3 linked regions of the Drosophila melanogaster genome follow. The protein of the gene in region 2 purifies or fractionates together with the protein of the main gene of each other region. This does not show direct contact. Each region holds a gene or a part of one and is shown on either strand. Other genes may lie near its edges.

Evidence for each region.
Region 1: the proteins of Rab14 (region 2) and Rabex-5 purify together in Drosophila melanogaster (affinity purification with mass spectrometry, with the first as the bait; one large-scale study listed by BioGRID). This does not show direct contact.
Region 3: the proteins of Rab14 (region 2) and Tbc1d15-17 purify together in Drosophila melanogaster (affinity purification with mass spectrometry, with the first as the bait; one large-scale study listed by BioGRID). This does not show direct contact.

Annotation. Positions count from the first base shown.
Region 1 is NT_037436.4:1,292,097-1,299,800, reverse strand, and holds Rabex-5 (Rabaptin-5-associated exchange factor for Rab5), read right to left. Parts: upstream 3,889-7,704; 5' UTR 3,776-3,888; coding exon 3,622-3,775; intron 3,537-3,621; coding exon 3,333-3,536; intron 3,279-3,332; coding exon 2,966-3,278; intron 2,893-2,965; coding exon 1,473-2,892; 3' UTR 1,304-1,472; downstream 1-1,303. Other genes in the region: scf (supercoiling factor), read right to left, coding at 1-482, 601-1,075; CG32333 (uncharacterized protein), read right to left, coding at 5,516-5,708, 5,763-6,003, 6,072-6,283, 6,343-7,704.
Region 2 is NT_033779.5:14,353,322-14,360,971, reverse strand, and holds Rab14 (Rab14), read right to left. Parts: upstream 3,932-7,650; 5' UTR 3,765-3,931; coding exon 3,701-3,764; intron 3,692-3,700; exon of another isoform or gene 3,632-3,691; coding exon 3,518-3,631; intron 3,453-3,517; coding exon 3,272-3,452; intron 3,218-3,271; coding exon 3,035-3,217; intron 2,967-3,034; coding exon 2,789-2,966; 3' UTR 2,208-2,788; downstream 1-2,207. Other genes in the region: Pgant35A (polypeptide N-acetylgalactosaminyltransferase 35A), read right to left, coding at 1-1,592; l(2)34Fd (lethal (2) 34Fd), read left to right, coding at 5,975-6,040, 6,099-6,500, 6,554-7,275, 7,336-7,650.
Region 3 is NT_033779.5:203,482-211,809, forward strand, and holds Tbc1d15-17 (TBC1 domain family member 15/17), read left to right. Parts: upstream 1-3,697; 5' UTR 3,698-4,030; coding exon 4,031-4,150; intron 4,151-4,229; coding exon 4,230-5,127; intron 5,128-5,247; coding exon 5,248-6,377; 3' UTR 6,378-7,025; downstream 7,026-8,328. Other genes in the region: mRpL10 (mitochondrial ribosomal protein L10), read left to right, coding at 389-410, 512-1,236; CG11617 (uncharacterized protein), read right to left, coding at 1,563-1,731, 1,791-2,462, 2,520-2,563.

The sequences.
Region 1 (7,704 bases), on a different chromosome or scaffold from region 2:
GAAATCGGTGGCCTGGGAGCCGACGAAAACGTCGTACTTGTCTAGTATTTCCTCCTTTGTCAACTTATCATCGTGGTCCGCATCGGCCTCGAACAGCAGGTGCTTGGCCTCCGCCTCCGAATGATCGAAGTCATGGGGCGCAATCCACTGCTTCACTTCCTCCTCGTTCAAATAACCATCTTTGTCCAGGTCGCGATGTGTGGAGAACGCCTCCCTTTCGTTAGCCACCCACTCGGGCTCCTCGTCTTCCGCGCCCGTCGATCGGTACATGTCGCCAATGTACTCGTCCACCGAGATCTTGCCATCGTGGTCCTTGTCCAGATCGGTAATGGTCTCGCGCAGAACCACACCCTTCATGCTGGGATGGTCCTCGGGGTGCAGGAAGGCGGTAAACTCATCCTTGGTGAGATTGTCATCCAAGTCCTGGTCGGCCACCGACCAGCGGTACCGATCGCGTTTCAGCAGGCTCTTGTAGCTGACTCCTGTTCGAAAAAACAAATACAATTTGATTAGATTAATGTGATGTTTCCCGCCCATCAAAACAGTGATTTCCCTATCAAATTGATGCCTCTGCTTACAATGACGATTTGGGCTACATACCATTTTCCTCCTGTTCCTTCTCGTCGGGGCTCAGATCATCCATGAAGCCGTAGACAGTCTGCATGTAGGAATCCCAGCTTATGGTCTCATTGTTGTCCGGATTGTGCTGCTTCCACACGCGACCCACGTCTTCTTCGATGTAGCGCCTCTGGGTGTAGGCGATCCAGTTCTTTAGCTCCGCCAATGTGACTGACCCGTCCTTGTTCTCGTCGATTCGGTCCACAATGACGCCCAATCTCCGCCTGCTCTCCTCGGGTGTCAGGCTGTCGAACTTCTTGGACTCGTCCGGGCCCAAGAAGGCTTCGTGGTCAAACTGGGCATTGTGCTCGCCCCCGTCGAAGTGCCTGGGGTGCAGGGGGTCGTGCTCGAGCGGATTGTGGGGCAGCTCTTCCGGTATGCTGGAGGCACTTGCTCCACTTATCACCGCCGTCAGCGCAACAACAAGTAGCAGCATCTGAATTCGGGTTCTAGCCATTTCTCGTGAGCGCTCACGTCCGTTCGGTTCGGCAGGCAAACTGAGAATAAATCGTGTGTGATTGAGATATTTCGAAAACAACAATCTCTCTTGTTACTTTTCTAGTGCTGCCAGATTATTGGATAAGTGATGCCCAGTTGGCGGGACTTTTGAAAATCATGCAATTACCCCTGGGAAAGAAATTAAACTTAGTTAACCGTTTATTGTAAAAAACAATACAACTTGTGTATGTGTTAGATTGCATTTATTAAACGTCCTTTCTGTAAAGCTAGTTAAATATGGTACAAATAAATATGTGCAGAAATTTGAATTGAAGCGTTGGGCTAACTACAATATTTCACTTAAACTTATTTACATTCACACAGCTGCAGGATTCAGTGACCCAGTGAACAAACGTTTATTTGGGAGCATCCGCGCCGTCCTGTCCCAGAGAACTAAAGTCTCCCGTGTTGCACGAGATGCTGGGAATATCGAAGTTTGAGAAGCCCCGGTAGTTGGACACCTCGGGCTTCAGAGGGGATGGAAGCAGGACAGCTGTGCCGGGCACTTCGCTATCTATAAGGCTATCCGTTGTGCTATCCAGCAGACTGGTCTCCGGCAGAGGCGGCGGTGGCTTGGCAACTAGGCCCTTCTGCGCCAAGGGGTCGAATTCGTCGAGATTCAGCTTTGACTCGTCCGCAGTGCTGTTTTCCCCACTTTGATCCGACAAGTCGAAGTCGTAGTTGATATTGGTCAGGCCTCCTTGAAACTCGGAGCCCAGCATGAGTACGTCTGTGTTCGCATCGGGCACAGGCTCCTCCAAGAGCGAGACGGCATCAAACGCGGTGTAGTTAAAGATTGGAGAGGCGAAGAGGTGATCGGCTGGCTGAACGTTCTGCTGAAGTGGCGACAGACGGCCCATCGAACTCATGCTGGTATCCTTAAGGGACAATCCAGATTCTTTAGACGCCGCTGCGGGCTTTACCAACCCACCGGCTGCTGTCAGCGACTGGGAGGTCAATGAGCCGCCGTGCAGCATATTCGCTTGATAATGACCAGCCTCGCTTTCGTTGAGAAGGTGCGCCCTGGCTTGACCAATCAGAAAAGCGGGTGTTTTGATGGGCAGCAGGTTGAGTGGGGCCTTGGCAATCACGGTGTCTACTCGTTCCGTCACCTCTCTTTGGAAATCGATAAGCTCTTTTTCAAATGAAGTTATTCCAGAGCTTATCAGGGCGTTCCTTTTCTGCAGCATCTCCATTCGCTTCATGTTCTCGGATATCAGGTGAAGGCTCTCGCAGGCCAACAGGGCACTTTCCCAGGGCGTGCTGTAGGGCTGCTGTCCGGACATCAGAGCCTCGAACTCCTCGCTGCTGACGCCCAGACTCTCGCCATTCAGATTCTCTATGAAGGCGATGGCGGAGCACAGATTGGTAAAGTAGTAGCCACTCTCGCCGCTCATCAGCCGCGAAGCGTTTGTGAAGCGCGTAACGAAGTTGATGTTGCTGTGCAGTCGCACTGGATTTGCCTTAAGCACGACGAATATTAGGGCGGGTAGGAAGTCATCCGCACTGGCGGGTCCTCCAGTTGCCCGCTTCAGAAGCTCAAAGATGTGCCTACAGCAGCGCCAAGTGCACTGCAGCTTCTCCTGCGGCGAATAGTACGAATCTATGCCCACCAGCTCGGATATAGCATTGTAAACCAGATCCCTGGCCTCCGAGTTGACCTCGTCGATGCTGCAGTCCAGATGCTTGGCCGTAATCCAGCTCAGCTGGCGTATCCGCTTCTGCACCTTCACGTCACTGTCCTCATCGGTAGTGAAATAGGGACTGAAGAGAAATCTGCAAAAAAAAAAAAAGAGTTTCCCAGATAAAAATATGTACTCCTCTGATATCAACGTTCCGCTTGACTCACTTGTGGTTCTGCGTCATCACCACTTTCTCAAAGAAGTCAATGGCACTATCGCGATCCTCGTTGGTGGCTATCTCGAAGCTGGGATCGTTGTGCACAATGTCTGAGACTTTGGTGTAGGCGTTTTGAACCAAATCTGATAGTTCGTTGATGTTTTTGCCGCCATTTCCGTTCATATACTTGCGGATGTCGCTGTCCAAACGCTGGATTTCAAGCTTGAGTTTCCGCTTGCCATCGTCGGGAATGCGAAGTTGCCGCAATTGCAGTAGGAACTGGCCCTCCGTGGGATCCGGCACATGACCACGCTGTTGGGTAACTAAGGAATATCCAAGTATAAGCATTTAAAGGCAGTGTGGCTATGCAATATTACTTTTTTGGGCTCCCGCCTGCAGAGTTTTTTGCAGCACAGCGGTAAACTTTTTCTTTTGCAGGGTTCCCAAGTTGTCCTGCTCCTTGTCCGACGGCTTCCTGACCTGCTGCTCCACTTTTCCCTGGAGGTGCGCATGCTGTGGCGATCGGCGATCCAAGGTGGCGACCGAGGAAGAGGATCCAGGACCCGTCTCGCCACCCGTCTCTGTAAAGAACCACTTCATGACTCAACGCTCATCGGCTTTGGAGTTATATGCAAGCATTGTCTGGGGACCTACGCTTCAACTTACGCTTCAACTTCCGCTGCTTATCATTAAACTTTTCTCGGAAGCACATCGAGCACAATCCTTCGTTTTGGGGGGTTCCGTAAAACCCGCATCCTGAACGGCACTTGAGGTCCTGCTGGCCCAGCCGCAAAGACGGAGGTCGCGCCGCCGTTGACATCTCGGAGGTGTGGCTATAAAAATACAGCTCCCTTATCTGTGGGAGTCCCTTTGTTGCTTATTGTTTTCGTGACTGAATTGTGGAGATAAATAATTCTACTGCTGCCAGCGTTGCCAGATGGTCTTTTATCCAGTGGTGGGACATCGCTCAGAAAGTTAGAGATGAGCTGGTTCGCCGGCTTTAAGTAGCCGCCCATCGAATGGAACTAGTTCGCTTCGTACAAGGGGGATTTCCCTCTTTTGAATATAATTTTGATAAAAAAGAACGTAGTTCGCATATGACCTGTAAACCCACATACAATTAAAACACTATTCAGTTATGTTCCACTAAAATTGGATTTTAGCATATTTTATTCGTAAAGAAAATATTTAAACTGCAACTTAGGGAAATTTGCACAATTAGATCGAATACATGTAGTAAAATCGTGGTGTCCTAGGGAACATTTCAACACACATTCAATTCTTAGATGCACACAAACATTTTTAAAACCAGTTACACACGTATATCGACATAGCAAGTTGATAAAGTAGTAACATTTAGGACGGTTATACACGTAAAAAGAATGCATTTCTGGAAGGGTCGCTAATGGTAGTAGTTCACAACAGCAATTGGAAAAAGCTCAGAAAACACAGAGTTATGGCTTAGACTAGACTATAAATTTGCAAAGTTTTTTGTCCTAACTGCTCTACGCTACGTTACCGATCTTGTTCCCCAATGAAAAGTTTAAATCTGCAAACAAACCTTTGCATCGTCCAGCTCTCCTCGTAATTGACGATCCAATAATGCACTCAACTACTAACAACTCGACTAGTTCAACACTACCTCTACTTTATCTCTAGTTCTTCTAAATTTGTTCTCTCGTCTAGCAGTAAAAAGATTTGGAAAAAACCATTTTGTCTCTGTTTGTGTTTTGATTAGTCTTAAAAATTGCTAATACTATTTCGCTACTGTCATCAAAATGCAACCTTGCCTTGCCGTGCTCAACTACTATCGATAGTTTACGTATACTTAACATGATCGTTCTTGTTTTCGTTCACTTCCCATTTGCAATTCAACCGTTTCGAAAAAGTCTCGTGTATAGTTTTGAACTGGAATTTAACACTACTTATGATGTCTTTGGCTTTTGTTTTTGCTTTGTATGCGTTCAACTCTTACAGCTAACAATGTAATTATCTTTAACGCGTGTGTTTCAACATTATGCTGACTTTGGTTTTGGTTATAGGTTTTTGATTAAACATTCTTTGGTTTTTGATTTGTTCGTATCTGAGTGTATTCAATTCGCTACAAAAGAGTTGCATTTGTAAAAAATTCAAGTCTAACGATTTGCTTCAATAAATTCCTTGTTCCAATCGCTGATCAATTGGAATTATTTGGCTGATCTGATGACTGTGGTTCTTATTTTGTCTTCGAATTATGTATGAGTACCCTGTGTATTCAAAAGTTCGGCGTATAAAACAGAAAGTACAGCAAGTTAGAAATTGTAAGTTTCAAAAAGAATATGTCTTAACTTTCCATATATACAGTTATACAAACAAAACTCTTGACAAAACGAAGAAACAAAATGAAACATATGACTTTTAAACTATACAAACATGCTGTAATTAAATACTTATAAGAAAATAATCTTTTTTTTTTTTAATTTTATCAAATTGGTAGTTGAATCTTCCGACTGTGTTTAGTACTTGATTAATTCGCTAGGACTCTTCTAAAGACATTTCAGACATTTCTTCAGTGCCCTGGTTAACTGAAGTACTTCAGTCCTGCGATCAGCATAAACTTCTCAATAAACAACTCCGAGTCCAGGACAGCAATGTGCGCCGCTCGACCGATCAAAGTGTTGGCCGTGTGGGGCAGGGCATGGTGGACATCGAATCGGGCCAAAGTCAGTTCGGGCCTGGCCAAAATCGGAGCTATTATGTTGTGCACCATTTCCCTGAAAAGGAATCTTTATAGTCACGATTTTAACAAGGAGCCATTCCAATCGAACCTGTAAATGGTACCCAACGAGGAGCTATCCCTCATGGCAGCCTTGCAAAGCTCCAAGCGTGCCGAGTGCGCCGGAACATAGCGATCCTGGCTAGAACCACAGAGCAGGATGTTCTTGAAATGGTGCAGGGTGCTCCTCTGGCTCAGCCGGTACAGGAAACTGTTCCGCATATCGGTGGTATCTCGCATGCAGAGCTGCAGCAGTGATCCGGACTTCTTCCACTTCTGCATAAACCACATTCCTGCGAAAGGAGGCCCAACCCTGGGTTAATCACCACGCTTAAATGTATAAGAATGGGTATAGACTCACCCATGTTCACCAGCCCACTCGTATTATAGAGTGTTCCCAGGTGGGGTCCGGAGAGCGAGAGGAAGGTGTGCAGTCGCGGGAGCAAAGGCCTCATTTGTGGCCTAGCCAGAGCACTCCGCACAATTATCGTTCCCAGCGAATGGGCGACGAAGGAAATGCGAGCGGGATTAAGGGCGCAGCTATCGATATGGTAGAGTATCTCGGTAACCAGCCTAAATGATTTAAACAATGACATCAAATTTATATTGACTTCGAAGTGTATTTTGCTTACCGATCAGTCATGGTGTCAAAGTCCGAAAAGGTGTCTCCCTGGTTTCTCTCCGACATGAGGAACTCCAGATTGACACCGGGCAACCCCAGCTCCAGATAGGTGCGCACCAGTCGCAGATCCGCTGAGTTGCCATCCAGCCCGTGGACGCAGATGACCAGATGCATGCCGTTAGGCGAGAATGCGCGGTACTCGTCGCTGATGTAGAAGTATGGCAGTTCGGAGGCCAGCTGCACGTAGTCGGAATATATGCTGCCCTGGTACTTGATCTGCTTGCGGAACTCCTCGCGGTACTTCTCGAACTCCAGCAGGGAGATGCTGGGAGGAGCCTCCTGCACGGCGGAGGCCAATTGGCCCTTGCGCTTGTGCTTGGAGTTGGTATTGGAACCGTGGCCCTGCTTGTTCGTCCTCACCTGGCCATTGGAGTTCTCCTTGATCTCGTCCTGTTCGTGATCCAGACCATTCTCCAGAACATTACCATTAGCATTTATGGCGTGGGTCTTGCAATGGTGGTTAATCGAGTGATTAGGAAGGTTTTGGGGCCTCTTCAACTCCGCCAAGCTGTGGGACTTGAGCACAGGCTTGTTGCTGAAAATGGCCGGCGTGGAGATGGGACGCAGTGACTCGTAGATGTGATACACTGGATTATCAATGGCTCCAATGGGCTGGCGTTCCTTTAGGGGTGGTGGCAGATGGCAAGCGACAATCTTGGTCTTTCCCGTTGGGGGAAGTGCAGCAGCAGGAGGAGGAACTGGAGCTATGGGTGCTGCTGGAGCTGGCTCCGGTGGCGGATCACGGAACTCATCGGGTGGCGGCGGGGCCAGGACTAGCGCCAACTCCTGCTCTTGATCCTGGAACTGCTGGGGAGGTGGCAAGCACACTGCATCCAACGGTTGCATGTCCTTCAGACTTGTTATATCGAAATCCGACTTGGACTTCTCGCAGGCAGTCTTGTGGCGATTCCTCCTCGGAGGTGGTTCCATTTCCTCCACCTCCGTGGACTCCCCGTTGGGCAGATGTCGTAGTCTATCGAGCTGGTAACGGGAGCGCTCCCGTTTGATATTCACCGTCACCGAGGAGATCTTCTTGTGTACCTCAGTCTGTTGGCGGGCAGGAGTCCTGCTTTGACTGGAGGTCCCTGCCTGCCTTTTTCGGTTCTTGTGGGGGTGCTGCTGCTGAAGCTGCTGCTGTTCCAGGACCTTTTGTAGGCGTAACCTCAGCTGCTCGCCATTAAGGCGGGTCTCCATAGCCATGCCCATCCCCAAGTTGAGCTGGGTGTGCCTTTGCCGATTGGTCATACCCGTACTGGTGATGGTATCCGGACTGGAAATCGCCAGAGAGCTCCTCCGGCTGCTTACCCAGCCA
Region 2 (7,650 bases):
TCCGCCTTCTCCGTTTCGTACCACAGTTGATTGGGTGTCCTTCGGCAGGTTTGCAATTGCAGGGAGCTGCCCTTCTTCCAGAAACCCTTCACCTTGGGAGCCACCACGGCGGCACAGAGCTCCGTTCCCGTCAGTCGCAGCTGGAATGTGTCGACATAGTTACGTTTTCGCGAGTGCCAAGGCTGAAAGATGGGCGCTGCCGCCGACTTCTTGGACTCCTCGCCCGGCACATGCAGCTCTGGATAGACATTCTTTAGATACCAGGCAAAGTCCCTGCACTGCAGACGCTCCCTAAGCTTGAGGCGATCGCTAATGTCTCCATAATCATAGGTCTTGGGCACCTTTTCGTGCTTGAGATAGTAATCCTTGTACTGATCCATCCAGACGTGCGCCAAACGCAGTGAGTTCTTCAACATGGTGTTGGCTCCATCTGGCGAAGTGTACGGACGTCGTTTGCGGAATATGTGACCGACACGGGAGCAGGGAACGATCTTAATGGCGCCACCGCATTGCCAGGCTCTGAAGGAGATCTCTATATTCTCGCCACCCCATATATCCATGGCCATGTCGTACTCGCCCAGATGCTGGAAGTACTTCCTGTTCACGGCAAACAATCCGCCGGCCATGGTGGGCGAACGGAAGGGTCCGCGAAAATCCTCCGGCACCTTGAGCGTGCCCTCGGGCAGATTCTCCCAGCGGAAGTGCAGGCCCCAGTTGAATCCTCCGCGCACCAGTGGACTGGGCGTGTACTCAAAGGTATCAGCGTTGATCAGGTCGATGACGGGCACGGCCAGAGTGGCGTTCTCCGACTTGATGAGGCGCAGCAGCGGCTCCAGCCACTGCTGATTGACCTCGATATGCGAGTCGAGGAAGACGAGCACATCGCCCACGGCCTCGCGTGCACCAATGACCCGGGAACGAATGAGACCCTCGCGCTGCTCGTTTTTGATGTACCGCAGGTTGTCGTACTTCAGGCGGGCACGCAGATCCCCGTGCAAATGGAATTCCAATTCTGGAAGATCGCTGTGATCATCCACCAGAATAATCTCGCGCAGCAGGTAGCTGGGCGTGCGTTCCAGCACGGTCTTAATCGAGCGCATCAGCGTCATCTTGTGCTCGTTGTAGAAGCACATGACTATGGAGGCCTGGGGCAGATTTTCCGCTTCCGTGGTCTCCTGGCGATCGCACACCTTGTGCCGAGTGTCTGGGATCGCCCGGAAGAGTCCTATGTTATTGGACACCAGCGCGTTGAAGGCGTGATGCTTGTAGCCAATGTCGCGTATGTACTTGTCCTGCTTGTTGCGCACCACACCCAACAGTTCCAATTGCTCCGGATCACTGGGCGGCTTGGGTGCCGCCGGCGATTCGCCAGTGGTAATGCTGGCATTTGGAGTGCATCCGACGGTGACCCTGGCCTGGTAGCTCAGCTCGGCCCGTGGCGTTGCGTTCCCTTCGTCGATCCTCCATCCTGCCGAGCGGATGGAGCTGCGCAGGCTGTGCGAGTAGAAAAGCAGCGCCAGCAGCCAGACGACCGCCACCAGAAGGGTGCCCAGGCCGCAGGATTTGCACAGGAGGCGCTTGATTTGCATCATGGATCGAGATTAGATTACGTTGTGCGCTTCCCTGGCTACTTAAGCAGCTACTTTGTCACTTTCATGATGATCGGAATAAATTAAATTTAATTTGCATACCATGGCATTCGCACAAAAGCGCGCACACAGCGATGCCACCGAAGATGCTAGCTCAGAGTTTTTCCCGCTAAATTTCAAGGAAATCGAAAATAGTGTAGAATAGTGTAGTGTAGAAAACAAAAATTGGACTGATAACCAGTTAAAATGATTAATTAGACAACCAGCAACAAACAAAAGAACAGTATACGAAAAATCGTTGTTTGACTTACAAACTTTATTGTTCATAGTCATAATCAGCTGATTTCCAACCCAACGTTAGCATCACTAAATAAAACAAGAATGAAGTTATGCGCAAGTCAAAGTTGAGGGTATTCCACTAAATGGATTAAAAAAGCTTTTTACAAAATATTTAAGTAAATCGTAAGTACCCAAATATTTATAAAATTTAAATCTATTAAATGGAAATCCGGTAAATTATAAAATTATCCAGCGATTTGGTGTAGAATTAAATATAAACGAATGGTTAAATATGCAAATTAAAATTTAAATTATTTGAAAGAGAAATTCATTTCTATTGGTAGGGGTTTTATAAATACCATTTTATTTATTTCCTATTGCATTATGCCATTAATACATCGTAAATATTCATATAACATTGATCGTTTCCTCCAATTCTTGCACGCGACAACAACAAATACTCAACAAAAAATTAGGGAGATACAAAAATTCATACATATATATATTATATACAGGGATTCATCAGCCAACAAAAACATGATCTATATCTCAAACGAATTCATCTATAAATTGAGACCGAAGGATGGTGTTAGTGCGATAAACTTTTCGAAATTTCATGGTCAAAACTTTAGTTTGCGCCAACAAACATGTTTAATTTTCTAGTATTTATGCTTAACCGATACAATAAATGTTGCAATGCTTGCGTCTTATTAAGCGAAAGGACTTTATATTTTCTTTTTCTGTTTTTTTTTTTTTTTGTGGTTGCTGTCGCTGTTGTTGGCTCACACATTGATGCTTAATCGAATTATTTAACTACATACATTGGTTTTTGCTTGGGCATCGGTAGATTACGAGTCGGCTAAAAATAAAAGTTGATTTGTATAACTAGGTTTTGCGTAAAGTTAGGTTCCATCATTCATTTAGCACGAGCACTGATCCTTGGCGCCCGTAGCCTCGCTACTCAGCGAAGTTCGCGACGGCTGCGATGGCCTGTGCTGAACTCCGGACTCGGAGGCGTTCAGATCGAGCCGACCCTCCTGGATGTTCTGGTAAATCTTGCGTGCGGTCTCCAGAAAAGCCTCCTCCACATTCTGGCCACTGTTTGGGCGATAAAAAAAAAGATAATCAGTATATGCTCAAACACTATGCTTCCAGTTGAAACTCACGTCATAGCGCTCGCTTCGAGAAACATTAGGCCGTTCTCGTCGGCAAACTCCTTGGCCTCCTCGTAGGTAACCTCCCGAGTGCTCTCCAGATCCGATTTGTTGCCAATGAGAAAGATCACAGTGCTGGGATTGGTGAGATTGCGAGTGTCGGTAAGCCAGCTGCTCAGGTGATTGTACGTGGAGCTGGAATGGTCAAGTTGTAAAGCAATTTCTCAAATAGTAGCTTGCTTCGCTTACCGCCTGGTAATATCGTAGACCATCAGCGCACCAGCTGCTCCACGGTAATAGGAGCGTGTCACTGCCCTGAATCGCTCCTGACCCGCTGTGTCCCAGATCTGTAGCTTGATCTTTTTGTCGTCCACCTCAATGATGCGTGTGCCGAACTCCACGCCAATGGTGTGAGGACAATTGGCCATGACTGCAGGACGGCAAGTAGAGATTAGTTCTTATTACATACATTATTACTCAGCACAGTCTACTCACATTTCTTCTCGGTGAACTGGTGGAGCAGGCAGGACTTGCCCACGCCCATGTCACCAATGATGATGTATTTAAAGATATAGTTGTAGTTGTATGGCGCTGCAGTCATGTTGGGACCTAAAAAGCAAGCGAAATTATTATTATTATTACATTGCAGAGTCATTGAGTATATAGAATATTTCACACATTTTTCAATAAAGTAGTCTATGCGTTCGTGCAGTTTGTTCACCACGCTGCGCACTTTGCTCATCTTGACACCGGCAGAAATGAACTCTGACCCAATCAAACAGTGTTAACTACTACTATCAGCTCCTCATTTGAATGTCCAACCGTAGTCGCTGCTTATCAACAAACCGAGGCGCTGCATTAATTTGTTCTGCGTCGACACCACATTTTGTTCCCCTTTCTCGAACTGGCCCCGATATTTCTTTTTAAGGCCTGCTTGTGTTTGAACAGCCGACCGGGTTTGTTTGCCTGCCAACTGAAGCCAAAAAAAAAAAAAAATAAGAAAGAGGCAAGCTTCAAGAGCGGCGGGTATATCCACTTCATGCCACTTGACTTTGTCCATTCGCAGTATCCGTGTCGTTCGAAAGCCTTTGATTTGTCCGCAGTTAAGGGGCGCTGAAGAGAGTGAATTGAACCCTTCGCCCAAGCTGAAAGCGATTTGGATCAAGGTCGCCGAGCAAGCAATCGTGGGAATTCAATTATTAAGAGCAGTACGCGCGAAGTTATTCATCAAGTTAGTTTGTATTTAGGGTAATCATCCTGCCTTACTTCATATGAATGAATTTCATACAAAAGAATGTGACTTAGCAGCATATAGTGTGAAAAGATGAGTATCAATTATGGATTCTTAATTGCTCATACTTAAATCATCAAATACAGTTATAATCGCTTATCATTGCTTGTCAAAGTGACAAGTGCATATCAGTTTAATAGGCTCTATGACGGGCAGTTTAGACTAACTAAGTAGTAGGTCTCGGTCTCGAGTCTTATCAGTCAAGCGCCAAAGGCCAAACATCAGTGGAGCAATCAATGGAGGCGAAGTACATATGTACTTATTTGCAAAATGTGTTGAATGGAAGTGGATCATCATTGCCCCTCATAAAAGGAACACAGCGGCGCACCCATAACAGGGAAAATAACGAAAGGAGTATGAGAAATATATATTTATACACAGACGAAGTATGTATACCCTTTGGCAAAAAATCTTAAATATAAATATACTTTTATAAATGTGCGCTTTATATTCCATTTCTAAGATATAACTGAATACGATTTGATATTTGAGTATCTACAAATAAGCGCACATCCATTCAAACTAATAAAATAAGCCCGCATTGAAGACAACAACGCAATAAGACACAACAAAATGAAAAAGAAATATATTAATAACTGATAACAACTACTAAGAAAACTTCTGATTTATTATAATTTTTTATTCATGCTCGCCTACATTTTGAAAAAACCTTGTTTGCATAATTCATATAATAAATTAATATATAAGCACAGGTAAATATTTCTATGATAACTCATACACTCATATAATAATCCATCTTATAAAAACTAATTTAGAGTATTTATTTATAGCGTATACTAAACAAACTCCTCACCTACCGATTTTTAAGTAGAGTGGCGGCCGTTTTTGCCCCACCATCCCCTAAAAATTCAAAAAATAAATTATACACCATAAAAACCTGAAACATCCCCAGAATTAATCGATTTTTGTAAATCATATTTATTTTCTTAACTTGGTCACAAAACAGTAACTCCCCATTGCAGGGTATCAAAGCAATCAGGGGGTGTATACAACAACAATGGAGTGCTGCTGCCTAACGACAAAAACAAGAGAGAGCGAGAGCACAAGGGAAAGTTGCGGAGCACCCACAGCTGCACTGCGTCACCCCTTCGCAGACGGTTTTCCATTTCGCATAATTTAATCAGTGTTTAATTGGCTTAAGGAAAAACAACGAATATTACTCACCGTTTTAGATCACTTTAGTTTTAGTCCACCTTAGGGAGCGAACGGAATGTGTAACGTAGGGCGGTTACGCAGAGCGGGGGGTACTGTGTGTATGTGTGCGTATTGTTGTTTGGCTGTGCGGAATTCGATTGCAATTTTTGGGCAATTTGGCGATGCAAAATGCAGTTCACTTTCGTGCTAGCACGCACACTGGCTTCGCGGGGTTGCGGGGCTGCACCGAGAGGCAATTATTGCGATTATTTTCAATTGGTAGGTCGATGCAAATCAGTAGTCTTTTTTCACTGCTTTTGCGTTCTCTTGTTTTGCTTGGTTTCCTGCGGTCACACTGAGCAATTGGCAAGCCAAGGGTCACACTGCCGCGATAGGTGCTTATCGCAGCCAGATGCTATCGACAATCGTGTCTATCGATAGAGGGCGCACGTGTTGCGGACTTCGTTTGTTTATGTTTTAATTTTGAGCAAAAATCGTCCCTCAAGATGTTCGTAAACGAAGTTAACGATGTGAAGATCTACAACCTGAGCGCCGGCAAGTCGGTGCCAGATGTGAGTAGCAAGATAAACCCGTTGCCAAGCAGTTAACTCATGAGTATCTCCTTCACAGTGGCTGACGGATCGGCGAAAGCGGTCACAGCTCATGAAAAAAGTGGACTCCCGGAGACAGATCGAGCTCATCCAGGACTTCGATATGCCCGGCGTCTGCACCAGCATCCGCATGAGTCCCGACCAACAGTACATCCTGGCCACCGGCACTTACAAGCCGCGCGTCAAGTGCTTCGAGGTGTCCAACCTGTCTATCAAATTCGAGCGCTGCTTCGACGCCGAGGTGACCACCTTTGAGGTGATTAGCGACGACTACAGCAAGATGGTGTTCCTGCAATGCGATCGCTATGTGGAGATCCATGCGGCCCACGGGCGGCACTACAGACTAAGGATACCGCGCTTTGGACGCGACATGAAGTACCACAAGCCCAGCTGCGACATGTTCATCGTGGGAGTGGGCAGGGTAAGAACTGAGGTCTATCTAATGTCTAGTTTATTCTAAAGATTTGATTTCAGGACATTTTCCGACTCAATTTGGAGCGCGGTCAGTTCCTGCAACCCTTTGAAACGGATGGCAGCTGCCTGAACGCCTGTGAAGTGAATCCAGAGCACCATCTTCTGGTAGCCGGTACCAAAGAAGGCACCGTAGAAGCCTGGGATCCACGTACCAAGCAACGATGTTCAACTTTGGATGTAGCCATGAAGTTGCCGGGCGTCAAGGAGTTTCCATCGGTCACGGCCCTCAAATTCCGGAACGGCTTGCACATGGGAGTGGGAACTGCTTCGGGACACGTGCTGATCTACGACATTCGCGCCAAGCAACCGTTGCTGGTGAAGAATCATCTGAATCGACTGCCCATCAAGCGTCTGGCCTTTAATCCGGCTCAGAATGCCGTCTATAGTTTGGACGAGGCTACACTGAAGCTGTGGGACGAGCAGACAGGCAAGCAGATCGCCTACGTTGAGTCGACTTCGTCATTCAACGATTTTTGCACCATTCCCGACACGGGCATGTTCTTCGTAGCCCAGGAGGATGTTAAGATGATGACCTATTATGTGCCTGCAATGGGTCCAGCACCCCGATGGTGCTCGTTCTTGGATAACCTCACCGAGGAGATCGAATCGGAGGTCGTGGAGAATGTGTACGATGACTATCAGTTCGTCACAGCGAAGGAGCTGGCTGAATTGGGAATGGAGCATCTCGTTGGCAGCAATCTTCTTAAGGGTTATATGCACGGGTAAGTTTGAAAAAGATTGGAAGAGGTAAAGATCTTGTCTAATACCTAAAAATTCTACAGATACTTTATGGACGCAAGATTGTACAACAAAGCCAAGGCAGTTGTGGAACCCTTCGCCTTCGACCGCTTCCGCAAAGATAAGATCCGCCAAGAAATCGAAAGTGAGCGCAAGTCCCGCCTGCAAATCGAATCCAAGCTGCCCAAAGTCAACAAAGAGTTGGCTCTCAAGATTATGGACGAGCAAGCCAATCCTTCCAACAGTGCCAAGCAGCGAAATGTGCCCAGCCTGCTGGAGGACTCGCGTTTCAAGGCCATGTTTGAGAATGCCGACTTTGAAGTTAACAAGTCTGCCGAGGAGTATCGTCTGCTGGCTCC
Region 3 (8,328 bases), about 14 Mb from region 2:
ATCGATTAAAATCGGGAGCACATGTCCAAATCAGGATTAGCAAAAAAAATTACCTCGTCTTCTTATTCTCCTCTCGGCACATTTCCTATATCGTGTGAGAACCTTATAGGTTTAAAGTAAATAGTTCTCACACATGATTAAAATTGTAATATTTAATCAAACAAACTACTGACTATTTATTTTTTTTAATCTTATCTTTAAACTAAAATAAACTTAATTGTAACCGAAGAAGGGCTCGACGAGGTGGCAACGCTAGCCGGCGAAATATCGATGAAACCAAATATCTGGCTATCGATAAGAATGAATAAACATCGTTTTAGTAAAAATAAAGTTAAATAAGGAGAAGTTCTAGTTTTAGAGATTAGATACCTTAATACAGTTCTACAGCATGGCCACCCTGATACAAAGAAGTAAGTTGGACGGTTCATAGCGGTTGCCATTTTGAGCTTGGCCTGTTGTGTAACATGTAACATCTATGTACAAGCTTTTACTGATGTGTAAATGATTTTAGGCCTTTCCCTGGCTAAGAGCAGTACTCCTGCGCTACAATTTCTTCGCTTTAGGGGTAAGATCAATATACAGCGGCCGAAAGCACCGCACTACGAGCGGGCCCGGGTAGTCGCAGTCACGCAGCCGAAATATCCGGAACTCCCAAAAGCTAAGAGCTGCTTCAAAACGCGTGCGGAGCGCACGCAACAGCAGCAGGAGAATCCATACAACGAAATCATCGCACGAGAGGTGCGGAATTGGCTGGATCATTCCCGACTGGTTGCCTTCTTTCACTTAAGTTCTATAACCGCCGATGACATCTTCCGCGTGCGCGTTCAGCTTCACAAGCAGAACCTGCACCTCAAGTCCTACGGCAGCAAGATCATCGAACAGGCGGTGAAGAATACTCGATACGAAGCGATTGTGCCCCTGTTCCACTCCAATCATTGCATCGTCTTCTCACCGGACCCGGAAAAGACTGCCGCACTGCTACGAATCGTTCGCAGGGTGCCGCAAATGGTCCTGCTGGGAGGCATCGTGGAGGAGACCATGCTGAGTAGGAACCAGCTTGTGGCCTACGCTCAGATGCCCGGCCTGCACGCGGTCCAGGCACAACTTGTCCAGACCCTTAGTCAAGCACCTGGCCACCTTATTCAGCAACTGCAGGCCCATCAGAACAGTTTTGTGCAAGTTCTTGATGTCCATGCTAAAAACCAGATGAATGAGGAAACGCCAAAGTCTACGTAGAAGTCAAAAAAGTCAAGTTTGTTATATAACAAGAAATCAAAAATTATATAATTGTTTTTCACTCTAAACTAGCTGTAGTAATTCTTAACTCTCGGCGCAACCTGGTTTTCACGTTTACATGAATATGATCGTCGTAGTTTATCACATAATTTAAATGAGTGTAGCTAAAAGGTTTTAAACTTGAAGAAAATCATGTAACGAGTGAGTATTGTACTGTAAAGTTCGAAAATGAAAACCAGAAGAAGCCCACTTGACTAGATTGCACGTTTTAGCGGGGCCTGAAACTTCTGCTGGAATGATGGCGTCAGTTCCGGAGTCTTCAGTCTTTAGATATGGTGCCAGCGCTGCCTGCAGTTGAAGGCGAGGTTGGCTAAGGCCTCTGCTGCTTCCAGTTCGTCCTTATGATGAAGCATCCAGCGTCCACCACGACCAGCCCCAGACACATCTGTGGTAAAGATCGCTTGTCCACAACTGCTATTACTGCTAGCTTTCTGCCTAAAGTGAATCGATTTTTATTTATCAAAATTCACCATACCAGCCCCGAATTGCCTTACCTGGTCATATTCCACTCGATGTGATAATTGTTCCTGTCCGGTGTGAATTTTGCTGCACTTTCCAGCCACTTGTTGAGTTGCGTACCCTGTTGACTGGTCGTTTTTGCCGTGGAACTATCTCGCATATACTTTTCCATCATCTGATGCTTGTACTTGGTCTTACCCCCTGTTTGTGCTGATATCCGCTCGGTCAGACCTGCAGATCCTACAAACAATATCGGCTTGTATGGGGATGAAGGTTCATTATTGGCATTGCCATCGCTACCAGTACTGTGGCTGGAAAACTCTTCATTATCGTCGCCTTCGTCATCCTCCGCAGGACATGAGTGCATCTCCTCCTCCCAAATGCTATCCTCCGACGAGATGCTAAATTGTTCCACATTACCCCTTGCATTGTGATTGTAATTTTTGATCAGATGGCCCCAGGATTTCTTGGCTTTCTCTCGCTCCGAGTTTTTAAGCTTTCTTCGCCAGTTTGCAAACCAATTGCAAATCTGAGTGTAAGTAAGTCCAGTCTCTGCAGCAAGCTGTTTTTTCTCCTCCCTGCTAGGATAGGGATTCTCCCGGCGACGAATTAACCAGTCCTTTAGCATCCTCTTAATGTCGGGAGTAAATAATCTCTTTGTAGCTCGGGATGCTGGATGCAACTCCTCCTCTGGTGGCCAGGCTCGTCTGGAAAAGCACGCAAAAAGAATAACTACATCCCAAAAACAATTTTTCAAATCTTACCTGCTGTGTCGACGATTTCGTTTAGGCCGCGTTGACTTGTCCATGAGGTTCTGAAAACAAGGAAAGTAATTTAAAGAACTGACACAGAATCGCACACATCGCTATCTCTGTTAAAAATACCGTGTAAGTCAATTTAGTTTTTGAACTTTCAGTGGGTGGCGCTATTTCTGGCGCACCGATTTTCATGTTTTTTGCTCTGTGGATATTTCTTGCTCTCAAAATAACGAAATAAATATTTTTGTTTGCCCAATCTCAGAGCAGGAGAGCTCGAGAGCCAGATGGTGATATCACAACCATCATGAGAGTTTTTTACTTTTCGTAACAGAAGTAGAAATCTGTTAAGGGATTTTTTTTCGTCCACAACTGCTCGCAATAAGGTTGTTGTTCATGTTGTTCATTCGTTGATAAAATCCGCAAAAAAATAATGCCAATGACAAATAGTGCCAAAACTCACACAAGTTAAAATGTAAAGTTACTACATTATTAACGTCTGGAAACTTTGGGAAAAGTCCAATTACGTAGGAGATGCATCGCATTTGTTGACATTCTTAGGCCATTTTGCTAACATTAATTATATAACTCGAACTTAACGTTATAGACTTGTTTTTTCGCACCGAATTAAAATTGGAATATACGTATATGTATTGGAAAATTTAAGCTATTTTATTCTAGCTTAGCTCTAAAATGTTCTTCACCCACCTATATTTGGCTTATATTTTTTGATAATGTGTCATTATATTTTATAATTTTAAAATTGTCGAGTGCTTGTGCTTTGTCCGACGTTCTCGGGCGAACTAAACTCTGAGTTTTCAAAACACCCAGAAGAGGCAACGAAGATCATTATCAAATAAGACGGATTCATTTAACCTATTTACAAAATACAACTAGATATGTTTGCTTATTTTAAAATGATCTCTGTTCTCGGTGAAATCGACGAGAGTCGAGAGAAACTAAATTGATCGTGCTCTGTTGCTCTGCGAATTACTTGACTCTCGATTGGAAATGTTATGAAGTGATTATGCGGGGTAGGCGGACAGGATAAAATCATTACAAGTTTTTATACAAACTAATTATGAATTGAACTGCAGACTAGAGAGCAGAGCAAAGCGTACGCCGTTTCGAGGAATTCTAGAGATACGATATTTTTTGGTTCGCCTGGCCCCTTATCCAAGTAAATTATCATATGGTCCGCAAATTGCAAAAGACATAAAAAAGAAAGAGATTCCAGACCCTGCGAGAACGGAAACACGATGAAGTATTGGCTAATAGCAGTTTGCAGTTCTAATAGCAATTGACTAATTTCGCTGCCAGACTTCTTGTAAACTAAGGCTGCCACACCGATGGAAAAATGTCACGGAATGTGGCCATTTTTACCTCGGTGATAAAATACCCCCATACAAAACGCTGACATGTAAAATTTAGCACCTTCGTGGGACAATTGTTTATATCTGAAACGTAATAGCACAGGCTAATTTGAACTATAATACAAGAAGACATAATTGCCGGCAGCCATGGACGAATCGGTGCGATATGACCGCTGTCACCAGGTGCAGCTGGGCGTTTTCAACGAGTCGCAGTTGTCTTCTGTGGAGGAGGACGTGCAGAATCTGCCTCAGCAGGGAACGGGAAACGTAAGTGTCTCGTTTTTCACCTGACTCATGGATGTTCCTTCCTTACTGCCATTATGTTATTCCGTTACACGATCCAAAGATCCTCTTCACCCACGACGGCGTGCTTCTGAAGAAAGCCAGTGCGGAGCACATCGCGGATCTGAACACCAGCGGCTCCCTTTCCTTGGTGGAATATTCGCGATCCATCGCGGAAATGCCCCGTAGGAGACTGTTGCTCGAGTGGCAGCCCAATGACAGTATCATGATTGCGGACGACAGCCAGGATCAGGGAGACTGGGCGCTGGTAGACAGGATTTCCGGGCGAACACGCACCACATCCGAGTGCCGTGCCTTCAACACTAGACCCATTGAACCGAGCGGTGGAGCGACCACCCGTTCGCGAGTCATGCGTGCCCAACTGGAAGATTTGTCTTCTGTAGAGGTGCGCCATCGCGGACAGACGATCCGTTTTATGCGGAAAGGGGCTAATGGCGTCCACAGCGAGTTCTTTTTCCAGCATGGAAACGCAGACCTATTTGTGCGCTCCATGCGCGATCAGCACCTAATCGAGAACGCCGAGACTAGTCGCAGTGGCGGCGAGGTGTATGCCATATTGACCACCGAGAACCAAAAATTGAAAAAGACGTTTGCTGAACTTGACATTGGCCAGATTAAGGCAAGCCAATTGCCACGTGAGAGCTGGCTGCCCAACAAGCTGGCCGGAATCCTGGGCAACATTCCCGATTACGTACAGCCTCCGTTCCAGCGTTCGCCCAAATCTAGGCCGGGAGTCTTGATCTCTGGCGATCGGCAGACTTCACCGGACAATTATCAAATAATTGGGCTAAGTGGCAGCACCAATAGTGCCTGTTCCTCAAACGGACAGTCTCGTGGGGGCAGTGCAGAGAAGTCTCCCGCCGACAGCGAGCTGGAAACTCTTAATGCCCAGGACGAAAAAATAGTTAACAACTTGCCCGATCGCCAGCGGGTGGAGAGAGGTGGGTTGATATTAATTCTTAAAAGAGAGTTCTTGACACTTAAAAAGCTTAAGAATTTACTAATAGAAATAATTCTTAGGGTTCCGAACATGAGTTTATTAATATATTTTTAATGGACAGGTCATCCCCTAACCGAGACGCAGTGGCTAGAGTTTCAGACGCCCGACGGCCGAATTTCCGATAGCGCCCGAATCAAGGAGCTCATCTTCCGCGGCGGCGTCGTGCAGAGCCTGCGGCCAGAGGTTTGGAAGTTCCTTCTCAATTACTACCTTTGGTCGGATACTCATGTGGAGCGGATCGAGCGTCGTAAGCAAAAGTCTATTGAGTACTACAACATGAAGGCCCAGTGGCTTGCTATGACTACGACCCAGGAGGCGAATTTCTGTGGCTACCGGGAGCGCAAGTGCCAGATTGAAAAGGATGTGAAACGCACAGATCGCTCTTTGCAATTCTTTGCCGGAGAGGATAATCCCAATCTAACCCTTCTCCAGGGTATCCTTATGACATACGTGATGTATAACTTTGACCTTGGTTATGTTCAGGGTATGTCCGATCTGCTTGCGCCCATTTTGGAGATCCAGGTAAACGAAGTGGACACCTTCTGGTGCTTTGTGGGCTTCATGGAGCTGGTGTTTACCAACTTTGACATAGACCAGGCGGGCATGAAAACGCAGTTCGCCCAGATTCGTCGCCTTATTGAATTTGCCAATGCCCCGCTATTTAACTACATGAGATCCCACGACTCGGACAACATGTACTTCTGCTTCAGATGGCTCTTGGTTTGGTATAAGCGGGAGCTAAACAGCGAGGACGTTTTGAAATTATGGGAATGTCTGTGGACTCGGCTACCCTGCCCCAACTTCCACCTACTGTTTTCGGTGGCCATCCTCGATCAAGAGACTAGAGTGATCATCGACAGCCAGTACGAGTTCACAGAAATCCTGAAGCATGTAAACGAACTGTCTGGAAACATAGATGTTCAAAAAACCTTGCAGGTAGCTGAGGGTATCTATCTGCAGCTCAAGGGCTCTGAAACGTTGCCCAATGACATACGTAGCATCATTGGCGAACCACTCTTGCCAGCAGCCGCTGGTGAAGAGATTGATGGGGGCATGGTAGATGAGGAACCTACTTACTCGGACGATGGCTTCGACGAATTGGTGAAAGAGCTCACTCCCGAAGAGAAGGTTAGGCAGCAAGCTTTGCTTGAGGAGGCCTGCGAACGCTCCCTCTTCCTTCAGTTCCACTAATTAAAGTGGAATAAAAACGATGGACACCTGGAAAAAACAAAGCCAATAGCCCACAGAAAAGTATGCGCAAATTACGCTGCCCTTCAAGATGGTTGCCTAACTAGATTATATTTGCGGTTGCAAACTGTGGGTCGTATCTATTAATACTGTGGCTCATATAAATTCACTGTTACAAAAAAGATCAATCGAGAATCTGACTGTTTCTCCGTGTTTAACACGAGTCGCCCGTAAGCGTCCGCAAAAAAAATCATATTTTGGTAAACAAAACATTGGAGCAGTGTTAGCTTAGACTATAAGACTTAAAGTTTACTCTCGCATCGAAGCTAAGCGAGGCGGGCCAAGCGGATACACTGATTTATATATTGTATATTATACATTTGTACTTTTTTGTAATTATTGTAAGTTCTCTTCCTCACCTCAAAACCAAAACACCCTCATCCTATATTCGATCACCTCTAATTATATAAAGAAATTAGTTCTCGTGCCTGTGAACTCAAAACATTTTAGGTATCACTTTGCTTTATCGGACTTCAACACGCCTGTCTTTTTTTTTAAGTTTAGTCAATTACTGTGAATATACATCCGTATACAAGTACATTACAAATGCATAGCAAAAAGATCTAAAATACAACTCCAAAATTCACACATAAAGAACATTGCTTTTTATATGCTGTTTTAAGGATACATTTCGGAATTAATCCATCAAGAACTTGACTGCCATTTGTATTCGGGTGGCCATATCCTGGAACGGTACGGCGTGATCAAGGCAAATGCCTTGCGGAAAAGTTTCGTTAAGGGCATACGAATCGCAGACTTGACCAGGCTACCTTAACACGTCTAAAAATCGAGGAGCTCAGTAATAAATCGTATGTTAATGTAATTTTTAAAATTTATTTTTTATATATTTATTTATCATCAATATCAATAGTTGATGCTTGGGTGTTTCTTGCTGTTGTTGCTTCTTCTGGTTGATGTTGCTTTTGTTTGTTGTTCTGCAGTTATATAATAATTTTAATTACGAGTAATACTTACAAATTAAGTATGCAATATATGTGGTTGTTTGTTTTGCTTTTTTTTTGTGTGCCTTGTTAACGTCTCAAAATAAATTGTTCTCATAAAGTGCGGATCAAATTTGTCCATAATTCATTTACTCAGCTGAATAATTATACAAAATGACCTAAATATTGCATTGCTGCTCATCAAGCGTGCAAGATTCATATTCTCGGGCTTCTCAATTACAACAAAATTGATTTAATTAAAAAATTCTATTTTTCAATAAACACTTCCCACCTGTTAGTTACGCGCCAGGACTTGCATGTTGGTGTCGGTGGTTCATGGGACACACAAGTGTATAATAAAACATACGAATTACAAATACAAGAGTTTAAAATATACGCTTGAAAGATTGATTTGCGCCATTAGCATTCCATCCTTTCACATTTACTAATTACAGAATTAAAATGATCAAAATTACACGCAGCTTTCGGGGACACACATAAAGAATAGAGAGTTCAGTATACAACATATTGGGGATGGAAGTGTGGAAAATGGTTTAGTTTGAGGAGAATACATGGTGCCTTACTATATTAAAAACAGTTAAGCAATACGAGTCATTTTAAGATTATGAATTATGTACAGGTATTATATATGTATAGAGACTGCATGTGCCAGGACAGCGCCAGAAACCCAAGTATATGTGTCTCTACATTTTATGCATGGATAGTGTTTTGTTTAAACATTTTTCTGTCGCTTATCAATTATACGTTTTAGCAATAATTTAAACGGAAAATCCTCGTCGTGCAACAGCACTTTGTTTCTCTTGTTACAATTAAATTATAAGCGCTTTTTAATTATGTTCGTAATTATATAAATAATTAAGCAGCCAGAGGAAGGGACACTATTGACTTATCAAGCACCATATAAGCAGCAGATGAAACTTGAGTAAGTCATG